Linked DNA regions of Coturnix japonica. The main gene of each other region encodes a partner of the protein of the gene in region 3 in a complex. Links are inferred from orthologs where the notes say so. Each region holds a gene or a part of one and is shown on either strand. Other genes may lie near its edges.

Evidence for each region.
Region 1: WDR92 (region 3) and RUVBL1 share a complex: the UniProt entries of both Homo sapiens proteins name them as parts of the PAQosome complex. The link is inferred for Coturnix japonica from reciprocal best matches to the Homo sapiens genes DNAAF10 and RUVBL1.
Region 2: WDR92 (region 3) and ASDURF share a complex: the UniProt entries of both Homo sapiens proteins name them as parts of the PAQosome complex. The link is inferred for Coturnix japonica from reciprocal best matches to the Homo sapiens genes DNAAF10 and ASDURF.

What each region holds. Positions count from the first base shown.
Region 1 is NC_029527.1:7,150,973-7,154,622, reverse strand, and holds part of RUVBL1 (ruvB-like 1), read right to left. Parts: intron 1,291-3,650; coding exon 1,139-1,290; intron 1-1,138. UniProt on the Homo sapiens protein: Possesses single-stranded DNA-stimulated ATPase and ATP-dependent DNA helicase (3' to 5') activity; hexamerization is thought to be critical for ATP hydrolysis and adjacent subunits in the ring-like structure contribute to the ATPase activity.
Region 2 is NC_029522.1:4,422,823-4,426,572, forward strand, and holds the start of ASDURF (ASNSD1 upstream open reading frame protein), read right to left. Parts: upstream 2,914-3,750; 5' UTR 2,847-2,913; coding exon 2,784-2,846; intron 907-2,783; coding exon 853-906; intron 319-852; coding exon 243-318; intron 1-242.
Region 3 is NC_029518.1:372,886-376,635, reverse strand, and holds the start of WDR92 (WD repeat-containing protein 92), read right to left. Parts: upstream 2,228-3,750; 5' UTR 2,198-2,227; coding exon 2,009-2,197; intron 1,925-2,008; coding exon 1,824-1,924; intron 1,754-1,823; coding exon 1,623-1,753; intron 1,313-1,622; coding exon 1,211-1,312; intron 617-1,210; coding exon 501-616; intron 315-500; coding exon 180-314; intron 95-179; coding exon 1-94. Other genes in the region: RNA-binding protein PNO1, read left to right, coding at 2,294-2,464, 2,539-2,688, 2,980-3,063, 3,296-3,356, 3,647-3,750. UniProt on the Homo sapiens protein: Key assembly factor specifically required for the stability of axonemal dynein heavy chains in cytoplasm.

The DNA.
Region 1 (3,650 bases), on a different chromosome or scaffold from region 3:
ATTAAACTTCAACTTCTCCCAGTAATACCTGCTAGGATTTTATAAAGCTGTGACACCTGGAGTAGCAGTAGAGTACAACTTAAGTCTTTACTGTAAAATCTAAAGAAGATGCATAAAACTTATTTTCTTACACAAAAATATCTGTCTGAAGAAAGTGACATTAAGTGCCAAAAACATAATGATACCAGTTATGCCTTTGTGTAATGTGACAATGTGTTTACACTTAGGATGTGGTGCTTCACTTGCTTTCTAGCAAAACTTTTACAAAAACTGACTATTGCACTGCGTTGTGCTACTTGATCCTCAGTCTGCATCCTCTGTCAAGCTGTGAGGGAGAGCGGACGTGGAATATGAGATGCTATTGTTTCTCATAGTATGTATTTATTCATTTTTCCTCTGCATTTTCTTGTTTTCAGTGTGAACAAATGCAAGTTGATACTTAACAACAGAGACAGCTTTCAGCTCTCGTATTCTGACAGGGAAATTAAACAATAAGGACAGAGACAAGAAAACAAAGGGAAAGTGGGGCTGAGCTGGCAACATACCAGCTCAATTTCTAGTTCTCTATCACGTATTCACTAAAGCATATCTCCACACATAAAAAGAACTGTGGCAGAAAGAACAATTTATATAGAAGCAGACAAAATTTGCCAAAACTGTTCTCAAAAATTCAGTTGAGTATCAGGCAAAACAAAAATGAATAAACCTTCTTGAACATTTGCTATTATGAATGTGAAGTTACAGCTGCAGTCACTGTGAGCATATCAGGTCATAGTTCTGATTCCCCACTGAACCTGCTTTTCTGTGAGCTACTGATGTTGCCGCAAAACTGCATCGGAATCTTTTGCTGGTTAAATCTTTTAACTTGAATGCTCACAAGTGTGTGTTGTCAAAACAGAAAAGTAACAGGAGCTGTTAAGAGTGACGACAAAGTTTCAATAAGTAGGAGAAAAGACCAATATCCAAAACATACAAACACTGAAGAGACAAAAGTACGTGTTCAGGAGTAAGACAATGCTGCCTAGCAAAACAGTTTCTTTGCACTGTTATTCTACCCACGTGGGGATCAAGAACTGGTAAAAACAAAAGATGCAGATGTGACATTTTGAAGGAAATTTTGAAACTCTACCATACGTACCTTCAACTGTTTGGTGCCCTTTGCAGTTTTGAGTCCTATAATTACATGGCTGATTGTTTTGCCGTAGCCCCCCATAGGGTTTTCAGTCTCACATGGAGTTAATTCTGTGACTTCTCCTTCGTACACCTCCTTGGTCTCTTTAATCCTCAATCCTGGAAGCAATTGTTTGGAATAGTTTAATTGCACAAATCAATGACCAAAAGCACTCAAGACTCTTCTACATCAATACTAACATATTGATGTAGAATATAATACATTATTGATGTAAAATATAATACAGTTTTTAATATATTGTTAGGGTTTGTTACCTTTAACTGGAGTTCTTTAATTCCAAAATTTGAAAGATAATTATAGTTTTTCAATATTCAACCTATGTTCTGATCCAAAAAGCAGCTTATTAAACTCTAGGAAATTATTTTCTTTCTGCTGCTTATTATTCATTCTTTAAGCAGATATCAGCATCCTCTCTCTTTTACCTCCACTCAAAGAGGGCAATTGCCTGACTAGTAACTTTAAACTGAAGATCAACAGTTGATCAGAATTCTGAAACTAAAGATCAGCAGCAACAGCACAACTGTGAGTTGTACGTGATTTTCATGCTTTCAGAAAAGTCCCATGAAGTCAGGATAGAGGAGGAACAAAAGTAACTTCAAAAAAACCTTTGTTTTTAAGAAAAACAAGATATATTATTTTACTAAGTTATAAGTGAGAGGTGAGTTAGACAAAGTTTAACAGAATCTGTCAAAGCAAGCTTAAAACTGTTTCAAAATAGGAGACAGTGACATCCTTGCTTCACTGTTTTTCAGTGAGTTGAGAAAACATTACAATATTCTAAGCCAAAACCATTGTAATGGACTAAAAGTCATTTTAAACTGATAAATAATACAGAGCTGAAGAGTTTAATGTTTAGACTGTGCCGAAGAAAAACCACTATCATCACCACCACAATTATGCAGACGCTCTAAGTACATAAAATTTCAAAGAACCCACATCTGAGGAGACTCTATAAAGTATTTTATGAGACACACATGCCATACCAAAAATGATGAATAGGCTGTAACAAGATACAAGGAAATCATCCTGTGCAGTCTGAGGCTATTAGGACTTTATAAAACTTTCCTTGTTCCTTAACTTTTCATTTTGCTTTGAAATAGATCAGACACTTCACCAGTAATCTTGAGTTGCTGATAGGGAAATAGAAAGGACTGACAAATAAGAGTCTGTCTCCCTCTACTGGACCCAAATTAAGGATAGGATTTGAAATGTGAGAAATCGTGGGGTTTTCGGATAAGAGGATAACTTCTTGGTAAGAAACGTGTGCTTTCTCTTACTTACCATAACCTGGAAGTTCTACACAAAGTTAATTTCAGAAAATGTTTCAAATGTTTTTCACGTATGCCAAAACATTAAAGTAATGAACCTCTGAATGATGAAATTGAGCAAGATGAGGCTGTGTCACATAGACAACATCTGCAAGGAGCATTCAGTAATATGGGATTCTGTACAGTAGAACTCTCTGTGGTAAACTCTGGACATTTGCAGTCTTGCTTTTCCCTTTTGTTTTTAATGTTTCAGCTTAAGTCCTATTTTGCCCCCACAAACTGCAAGACATTCATCTTTGGGGTATATTTGCATGGTCTTAAATCACATCTTTAAGCTTTATTTCATTTGAAAATAATCAGACTCGAGCAAATTCTGTTCCACAATACAAAGCAAAGCTGAATCAGTTCAGAGCTTAACAAGATCTGAAAAAAAGCAATCAGTGTTTTGAATTTTCTGTTGACTGTCTTTTGTTTCAAAATCAATCTGCATGGATCAGCTTAACTCTTAAAAGACCTCCTTAACTTAAACAGAGACATTTCCTAATTACAAATCAGAAGCACAAGCCCAGGAAAGAAATTGCAGAAAACTTCATATTTTGGCTCAAAGGTGCTGTGGACTTCAGTAGTGCTTGTTTGATTTACTGGCAGTTACAACTCATAGACAGCATATTGTTTCCCTGTATCTAAGGGGTTATTCCAGTTCTTTACTGCAATTGAACTCTTTAATACTAGTTAGTTTCTGTCACCACGTTGGTAGGCTGCTAACACATCCCTAATGATTTTTACAATTTGAGCCCCCTAAAGGAAGGTTTCACACCAATCAAGCAAAAAATAAATAAAATAGGGGCCAACTGTATGAGATTTTTATTCCCTGCACTCAGCCACAGCTGCACTGTGCATAAAAAATCCTTTTTGAGAACATTTACTCTTTTAAATTATTTATTTGCCAGGCAGGTGATCTAAAATGTAACCAAGATTTAAACACGATTGGAAAACATTCCACTGTAATAAAGAACAGCTGATCCTTTAAAATATTTGTTTCTTTTTTTTTTTACACTGATAAAAATATTCAATAAAAGTTGTCATGAAAATGTGACACGGAGTTCAACAGAAAGGAATAAAAGAAGTTCCATCTTTCATGAACGCCAATATTTGTTTAGAAGTGTCTTTCTGCTGACATTCAGGGAATG
Region 2 (3,750 bases), on a different chromosome or scaffold from region 3:
AAAAGCGACTCCTCTGTGGAAGGACTCCCTCCTGTATCTTCAGCACATGCTGTTTTACCACACATGCAAATCAAGTGGGAACCACATTCATTCAGCCCAGAAAAGCAGGCACAACTGAAGTCCACTTGGTATTTAACATGCAGTTGCCAGCTTTCCCACTGTACTACAACTTGGAAATCTTCAACAGCTACAGAGACAGCTTTTAAACAGTTGAACTATTACCTTTGGTGCAGCAAACTTACTTTTGCATTGAGACAGTGTTTCTGTTCGGTCTACAAGGAAGAATATGTTGCTATTGGGTTGCTGCCTATAAACTTTCTGTAAAATAAATACAACACCACATTAAGTAAAAGTAGCATACACAGGCAACCACACTGCAGCAGAAACTCACTGAAGTCCACTGAGATACCCTTCCCTTTTATGTCTGAAAGATACCTTCTCTGCCATGAGCAATGTCCTCATGTCGCACCAAAACATTTCAGGAACAACCCACAACCATTCTGCATTTTCCTCCTTTCCTCATACTTAAAGGGTCATATTTTGTTTTACATCATATGCACATGAAAAATAAAGAAGCTTTTAACATAAACTGATCCACTCAAACATCATAATATAAAAATTGTGCTAAAGTAAAACCTTGAGACAGCTTCCTGTTACAATGCACAAGTGTAAGTAAACCCTCAAGCGATGTAGACAACATTTTGACACCATACAGAAGATCATATACACATTAAAATCTTTAGTGTAACAACTAAAGATAATGTACTCACTGCAATTTTGTTTGCCCTCTTGCCTCTATACAAATTTATCTGATGCTAAAATGAAGTAAGCAGAAAAAACTTTAATGCTTACCCTGTTCTTCTTCAAATTCGAAAGCTCATCAACTACAACCTTCTGTTCCTTAATCTGAAAGAGAAAAAACACATCTCAATATAATTGTCAACAATAAACTACTGTGTTGCAGTCCTGGAGATTAAAATCTTTACCCATGTTTTTAAGACAGCTATAAAAATATAAGTCACTGTGCCCTGAACAGACCACTAAAATGAAAGTGGACACAGGAATGAAAAAGAAATTTCATTACCCATTATTCCAAGCATACAACAAGTCTTCGGACCACATAACTGAATTACATTTAACACACTTCTTATTGAAATCTAAGTTATGAATTCAACAATAAGACAATGAAGCACTCTAAATAACTGCTTTGGAAGGGAATTATCTTGCATGGTTGACACTGTTCCCATCCCCCCAAAGCAGTCATTACTGGGAAGCCAGAGTACTCCTCGCTGCTCAGAATCCAAAATCACTTCACCCTCAACCTCCCCCAAAAAAACAAACGTATAAACAACTATTAACATTTGTCAGCCTGGAGAAGAGGAGGCTCAGGGGAGACCTTATAGCTCTCTATAACTTCCTGAAGGGAGGTTGTAGTGAGCTGGGGGTTGGCCTCTTCTCTCATGTAAGAGATGACAGAACTAGAGGGAATGGTTTTAAGCTGTGCCAGGGGAGATTCAGGCTGAACATTAGGAAGTATTACTTCTCAGAAAGGGTAGTCAGGCATTGGAATGCACTGCCCAGGGAGGTGGTGGAGTCACCGACCATGGGAGTGTTCAAGAAACGTCTGGATGTTGTGTTGATGAATATGATTTAGCTGGGAAGTATTGGTAACGGTTGGACTAGATGATCTTCTAGGTCTTTTCCAACCTTGATAATTCTGTGATTACGCAACTTAGAGAAAAGATTTACCTACACAATACACTTTATAATCTTATTCTCCAGATTCAAAATGAAAACAGTAAATGAAACAATTAAAAACCTACATAACCAATAACCCCCCCCCCCCCCCCCAAATAAATAAATATGTATAAAACAACCCCAAAACTGTATTAAGATAATTAGAAACACTTCCAGTACACTGGACTTTTAGCACAAAGTTGTCATGCTGCATCTACCGCCATCAGTTCAGCTGCACTGACACAAACAGTCCAATGCTCCTGCTTCCCTGGACAACGTCAGCCACTAAAGACAAAGAGCCATTAAAGACAAAGAGCAATCAGGGCCCATCAAAAAAGCTGAAACACAAAGCTAAAGTGGTTCAACACACACTACTTTCTGTAAGCACAGAACACACCTTACTCCGGTCCTCCTTTCTGCCTCCTGGAATTGGCGCAGATGGAAATAACTACAGGGCTGTATAAGGCAAACTGAACTGAGAAAATGCTGTTTCACCAACAGCTACAACAGCATACTATGATAGTTATTGAAACAGACAAGAACACAGTGCAGTCTTGTGATGCAAAGCAGAACCAGGCATTTCAGCCACGCAGCTAATACGCTGTGTTGTGCTGATGCAGTTGCTCTCTTTAGTCTCTTATGTAACCAATCAACTAGAGAACAACACTAATCTATTGCGATATTAGTGTAGAAGAATAAAGTCACTTTTTATGCGAGGACAACTGACCAGGACTGTACAGAACTCACACTGAACAAAGACAAGACTGCCACTACGAAAAGCCCAGCTTTAAAGCTGGCCTCCTCACTAAACTCCCTCACGACTTGCTCAACAAACCCAGAGAACCACATTCTCCTTCGACTAATCACACACAGCCCATCTCACAACACTAAAAACGGGAAGGGAACTCGCCAGAAGGGCTCACAACACTCGAGCTCCCCCACACCTTCACCTGGGCCACAGCGCAGCTCAGCCTCCAGCACACCCTCCTCCTTCCCACACACAACTATGAGACGCAGGGCAGCACCTCAGACCCTCCATAACTCACCCTCCGGCTCAGCTCCTCCTTACGGCCCAGCTCGGCGCTCTCCTCCTCCTCCCGCCGCGACATCCCCAGCTCGCAGTGCCGGCCGCTGCCGTCGCACAGCAATATACGCACAACGGCTGCGCCTCACGCTGTGGGCTCCAAACAACTGCAGCGACTGCGCATGCGTACAGCAGAGCGGCTGTTAGGCGCGTATGGCTGAGGTGGAGTTATGGCCGTAGTGGCTGTGGAGCAATGAGACCATTTTCCTTCAGTACCGGCTGCCTTGTTGTCGGATCTTTGATAGTATTTTGATTCATGGAGACATTTCCCGTTAGTCCCCTGCTTGAGCTCTACTCATCTGTTGTGCTGTGTCCAGGTGTGGAGCCCTCAGTACAAAAAAGACATGGAGATTTTGGAAAGGGTCCAGAGGAGGGACAGGAAGATGATCAGGGGGCTGGAGCACCTCCCCTATGAGGACAGGCTGAGGGAGTTGGGTTTGTTCAGCCTGGAGAAGAGAAGGTTGCGGGGTGACCTCATTGCAGCCTTTCAGTACCTGAAGGGAACTTACTGCCAGGAGGGGAGTAAACTCTTCGAAAGGGCTGATAATAGCAGGACACGGGGAAATGGTTTTAAGTTAAAAGAGGGAAGATTTAGGTTGGATGTTAGGGGGAAGTTCTTCACTAGGAGAGTGGTTAGGCCCTGGAACAGGTTGCCCAGGGAGGTTGTGGATGCCCCGTCCTTGGAGGTGTTCAAGGCCAGGTTGGACGGGGCCCTGGGCAACCTGATCTAGTAAAGGTGTATGTTTGGTGGCCCTGCCAGGCAGGGGGGTTGGAACTACATGATCCTTGAGGTCCCTTCCAACCCGGGTCATTCTATGATTCTGTTGGAACCTTCATTATCTGTCTTGCTACATTAACCAAAGATGATAAGTGAATGCTTCATCCTTCTGTGCCATCTTCCAAGTAGTAGTAGTGCTTTAGCTTAGGAT
Region 3 (3,750 bases):
TCCAGAGATGAAGGCTCCCAGCTCCTCCGCTCGTCATAAACACATCCCTGTTCTGCGGGAGGTGCCGAACCTGCCAGATGGTGGATTTGTGTGCCTAGGAAACAACCAGCATTGGACAAAAGTTCTGTACAAACTCCTGTACTACATGTTGCTAAAGGAATGATCCATCTCCCCATTACCTTCTCTGAAACAGAAGCAAAACCTTTAGTTGGGTGCTGAGTCCTCATATCGAAGACATGGAATTTTCCCTCCAGTGACGTGGCCACCAGCTTGTTCATGTTCACATCTTTCCTGTCAAACTCCACACTGCAAACCTGCAAAGAGTGAAACCAATACGTTCAGCCACTGCTACAAGCATATATTTGTGAGTGTGATTTGCAGACACGTATCTAATCATTGGTTATTCTTACAACAGCTTCACCAACTCGGCAATAACGCGATTGCCTGTAAACAGACACACACCACAGCTGGAATGAAGCCCTGCTTCCACAGCACCTTACCCCGTTCTTAATGTTGGTCTCCCATCGCAGTGACATGGCTTTTAAGTCAAACAACTTAATGTCCCCATTGTCGTATCCAGCACATACTACACGTTCCTCTTGATTGTAAGCATTGCCTGGACACAGAGACAGAATTGATCACAACACAGAAACCCCTCTTAGGCTGTAAATTTGAGACCTCTTAAGTCAGCAATTTCAACTTAGATTTATGCCAGCAAAGCATCATATAGTAGGATTTAATGAATTGAGAGCACAGAGTTTGGGATGGACATGGCCTGGGCTCAAGCATCCTGAATTCAAGAGCACAAGTTAAGCATCTCTGCTGTCTTTCGTTAGCTCTGGGGATTGTCTCTTACATTAATGTCTTAATGTCATCAGCAGATATTGGTTCTCCATGCACAATCACAGTTAGACCCCTCCAGGGCAAAGTGGTTTCTTTGCTTTTACATTCCTAGACATAGAAATGTTCAATTCCCACACTAGGGCTGTAAAAATGCCTAAGAATAAAGCTTGTCTGTGAAGTGATTGAGCAGAGATGGTAAGAAAACAATGCCTGAGCCAACTACCACCAAACGTGATGGAAAGACAGCCTTTAAAACACAGTGCAAAGACACAGATGTGATAACACCGAACAACAAACCCTGCCTTCAGTGGTTTGATTACTGTCAACACGCAGTGACATTACAGGGGGCTGTTATCAGACTGGTTACCAAAGGCCACCGTCCAGCAGTCCCTCTTGCTCTCTCCCTGCGCAGGTTCCATGTTGGCAACAGGAGTTTCCTTCTGCCGAGGGTCCCACACCTTCACAGTTCCTAAGGAAAGCAAAGCCATCAGTGTTACAGATGCACTGATGCACCACTCTTGGTTTCCCAGGGAAAGGCAGCCTGACGCCTCCAGACTATGTCAGTGTATAGGAAGAAATGAAACATAATACAAACAGAAAAGCACAGGGAAAGTATAAGATGTCTAGCTGCTATTTTGTATTTGTTCTGCTTTATGTTCCTCCTCTCCAGCTCCCAAAGGAAGCAGAGGAGGCTCATCCCAAAGGGCCGCCCTCCATTTCGGTGCCCACAGCCTGTAGTTCAGGGATGTCACTGAGCAGCTCAGCTCTCTCCCACTCACCATCCCGGCTGCCTGTCACAATTTCTGGGGCACCTTCCCCAATTCCGAGGCCTCCGACCCCATCGATGCAGTTAATGATTTCCTTGTGACCTTTCACGGAGTACACGGGGACTTCAGGAGCTTCTAAGTTCCTATGTGAGAAACAGATAACACAGCGTTGCCTTCAGTAGCCAGGAGCGCTGTAAGGAATCACACACCCACCAGATGCTGAGGCATCCCGCGAAGTCCCCTGTCGCCAGGTGCCGTTGCTGCAGGGAGGCTGCCCCGAAGGTGGCACATTTTATCGGTTTGGCCTTTTCGATCTGCAGATAAAGGACACGGTCGGCACCGTATGAAGCGTTAAACCCCTCGGCCTACGAGGTGCCGCCCCGCATCGCCCCGCTCACCTCGCTCAGCAGCAGCAGCCGCCCGGCTCGCAGCTCGTACAGCTGGATGAGGCCGGTGCCTCGCGGGGCGCTGCCGAGGCACAGCAGGCGGGCGCTGCGCGGCACCCACTTGCAGTCGAACACGGTGTAAGTCAGCGGCTGCTGCACGTGAACCACCACCTGCGGCCGGTCCAGCCCCGCCGCCGACATAACGAGCGACGGCAGCGACGCGGATAACGCAGGAAGCGGAAGGGACGGCGGGACGGGCAGGAAGTGGCGGTGGCTTTTCCGGCGGAGGGCCACGCTATGGAGTCTGAAGCGGATGAGAACGGGAGCGGCTTCACCAGCGTGGCTTCCAAGCGCGGCAGGAGGAAGCGGAGAGCGGCGGCTGCGGAGCCGATGGAGGCGGTGGATGCGGCGGGGCCGCAGCCCAGCAAGAGACCCGCCTTCCCACCGCTGCCCGCCGCGGCCATGGGGGTGAGCGCGGCGCCGAGGCGGAGGGATGGGGCGGACGGGCTGCACGTGTCCGCTCAGCGCCCATCTGTCCGCAGGTGGGGAAAGGGGAGGTGAGGAAGGTGCCGGTACCGGCCAACAGGTACACGCCGCTGAAGGAGAACTGGATGAAGATATTCACGCCCATCGTGGAGCACCTGCAGCTCCAGATCAGGTTTAACTTAAAGACCAGGAACGTGGAGATCAAGGTGAGCGCTGTGCTGTGTGTCCTCACGTTCCTCTCATCCCTCGTGTTTCATTGAAACCCGCCCAACCGGGCCTTGGGCACCTCCAAGGCACCCACAGCTCTCTGGGCAGCCTGTTGTCTTAAGCACAACATACACTACTGGTCTGCGCTTTCAGTAGAACACAATGCGGAGGTGGCATTACACGAACGTGGCTTTGGCTTTCTTTTATACAGCCAGCCTTTATCTCACTGACTTTCCAAGTCCTGATTCCGTTTGCCTGATAACATAGAAACGTATCTTCTCGTTCTGCAGACCTGTGCTGAGACCAAAGACCTCAGTGCTCTGACCAAAGCAGCTGACTTTGTCAAAGCCTTCATACTCGGCTTCCAGGTGGAGGTGAGTCTCCCAGCGGCCGGGTTGTGCTATTGCTCAATATCTTCAAGCACTCTGGACATGACATCAAGAAACAGAAAACTTCAGGGTGGTTTTCTTTAATGTTTGAAGTTAAAACTGATGTTTGATGCGTCAAATGGAGATACGTGACTGATTTGATCTGTTTGGGCCTGTAAAGAACTTGTGTGTGACAGTGCTGCAGTGCTCAGGCTGATGGTGACTCTGAATGTTGCAGGACGCTCTCGCTCTCATCAGATTAGATGATCTCTTCCTGGAATCATTTGAAGTTACGGATGGTGAGTAGTTTCTGCTGTGCTACTCAAGCAGCCATTCACTTCTGAGCACTTCTTTGCTCTTTCCTTCTTTTCCACGTGTGTCACTTTGGGGATCAGGAAAACCCCGATGCCAATACATGGCATAACTGTCTATGGGGAGAACCTGGAGCTGGACACAAGGAGAGCAGCATCTAAAACTGATGTGTTTCAACATGTGTTAATTGCTGCTTTTCCCTTTGTTTGAATAGAGGAAATGTCACGGAGGATACGCAGCACAGCGTAATTGATTGAGTACTTTGTTCTTGTTTTAGTCAAACCTTTGAAGGGAGATCACCTGTCCAGAGCAATAGGGAGAATAGCGGGGAAAGGTGGAAAAACCAAATTCACTATAGAAAACGTAACGAGAACGAGGATC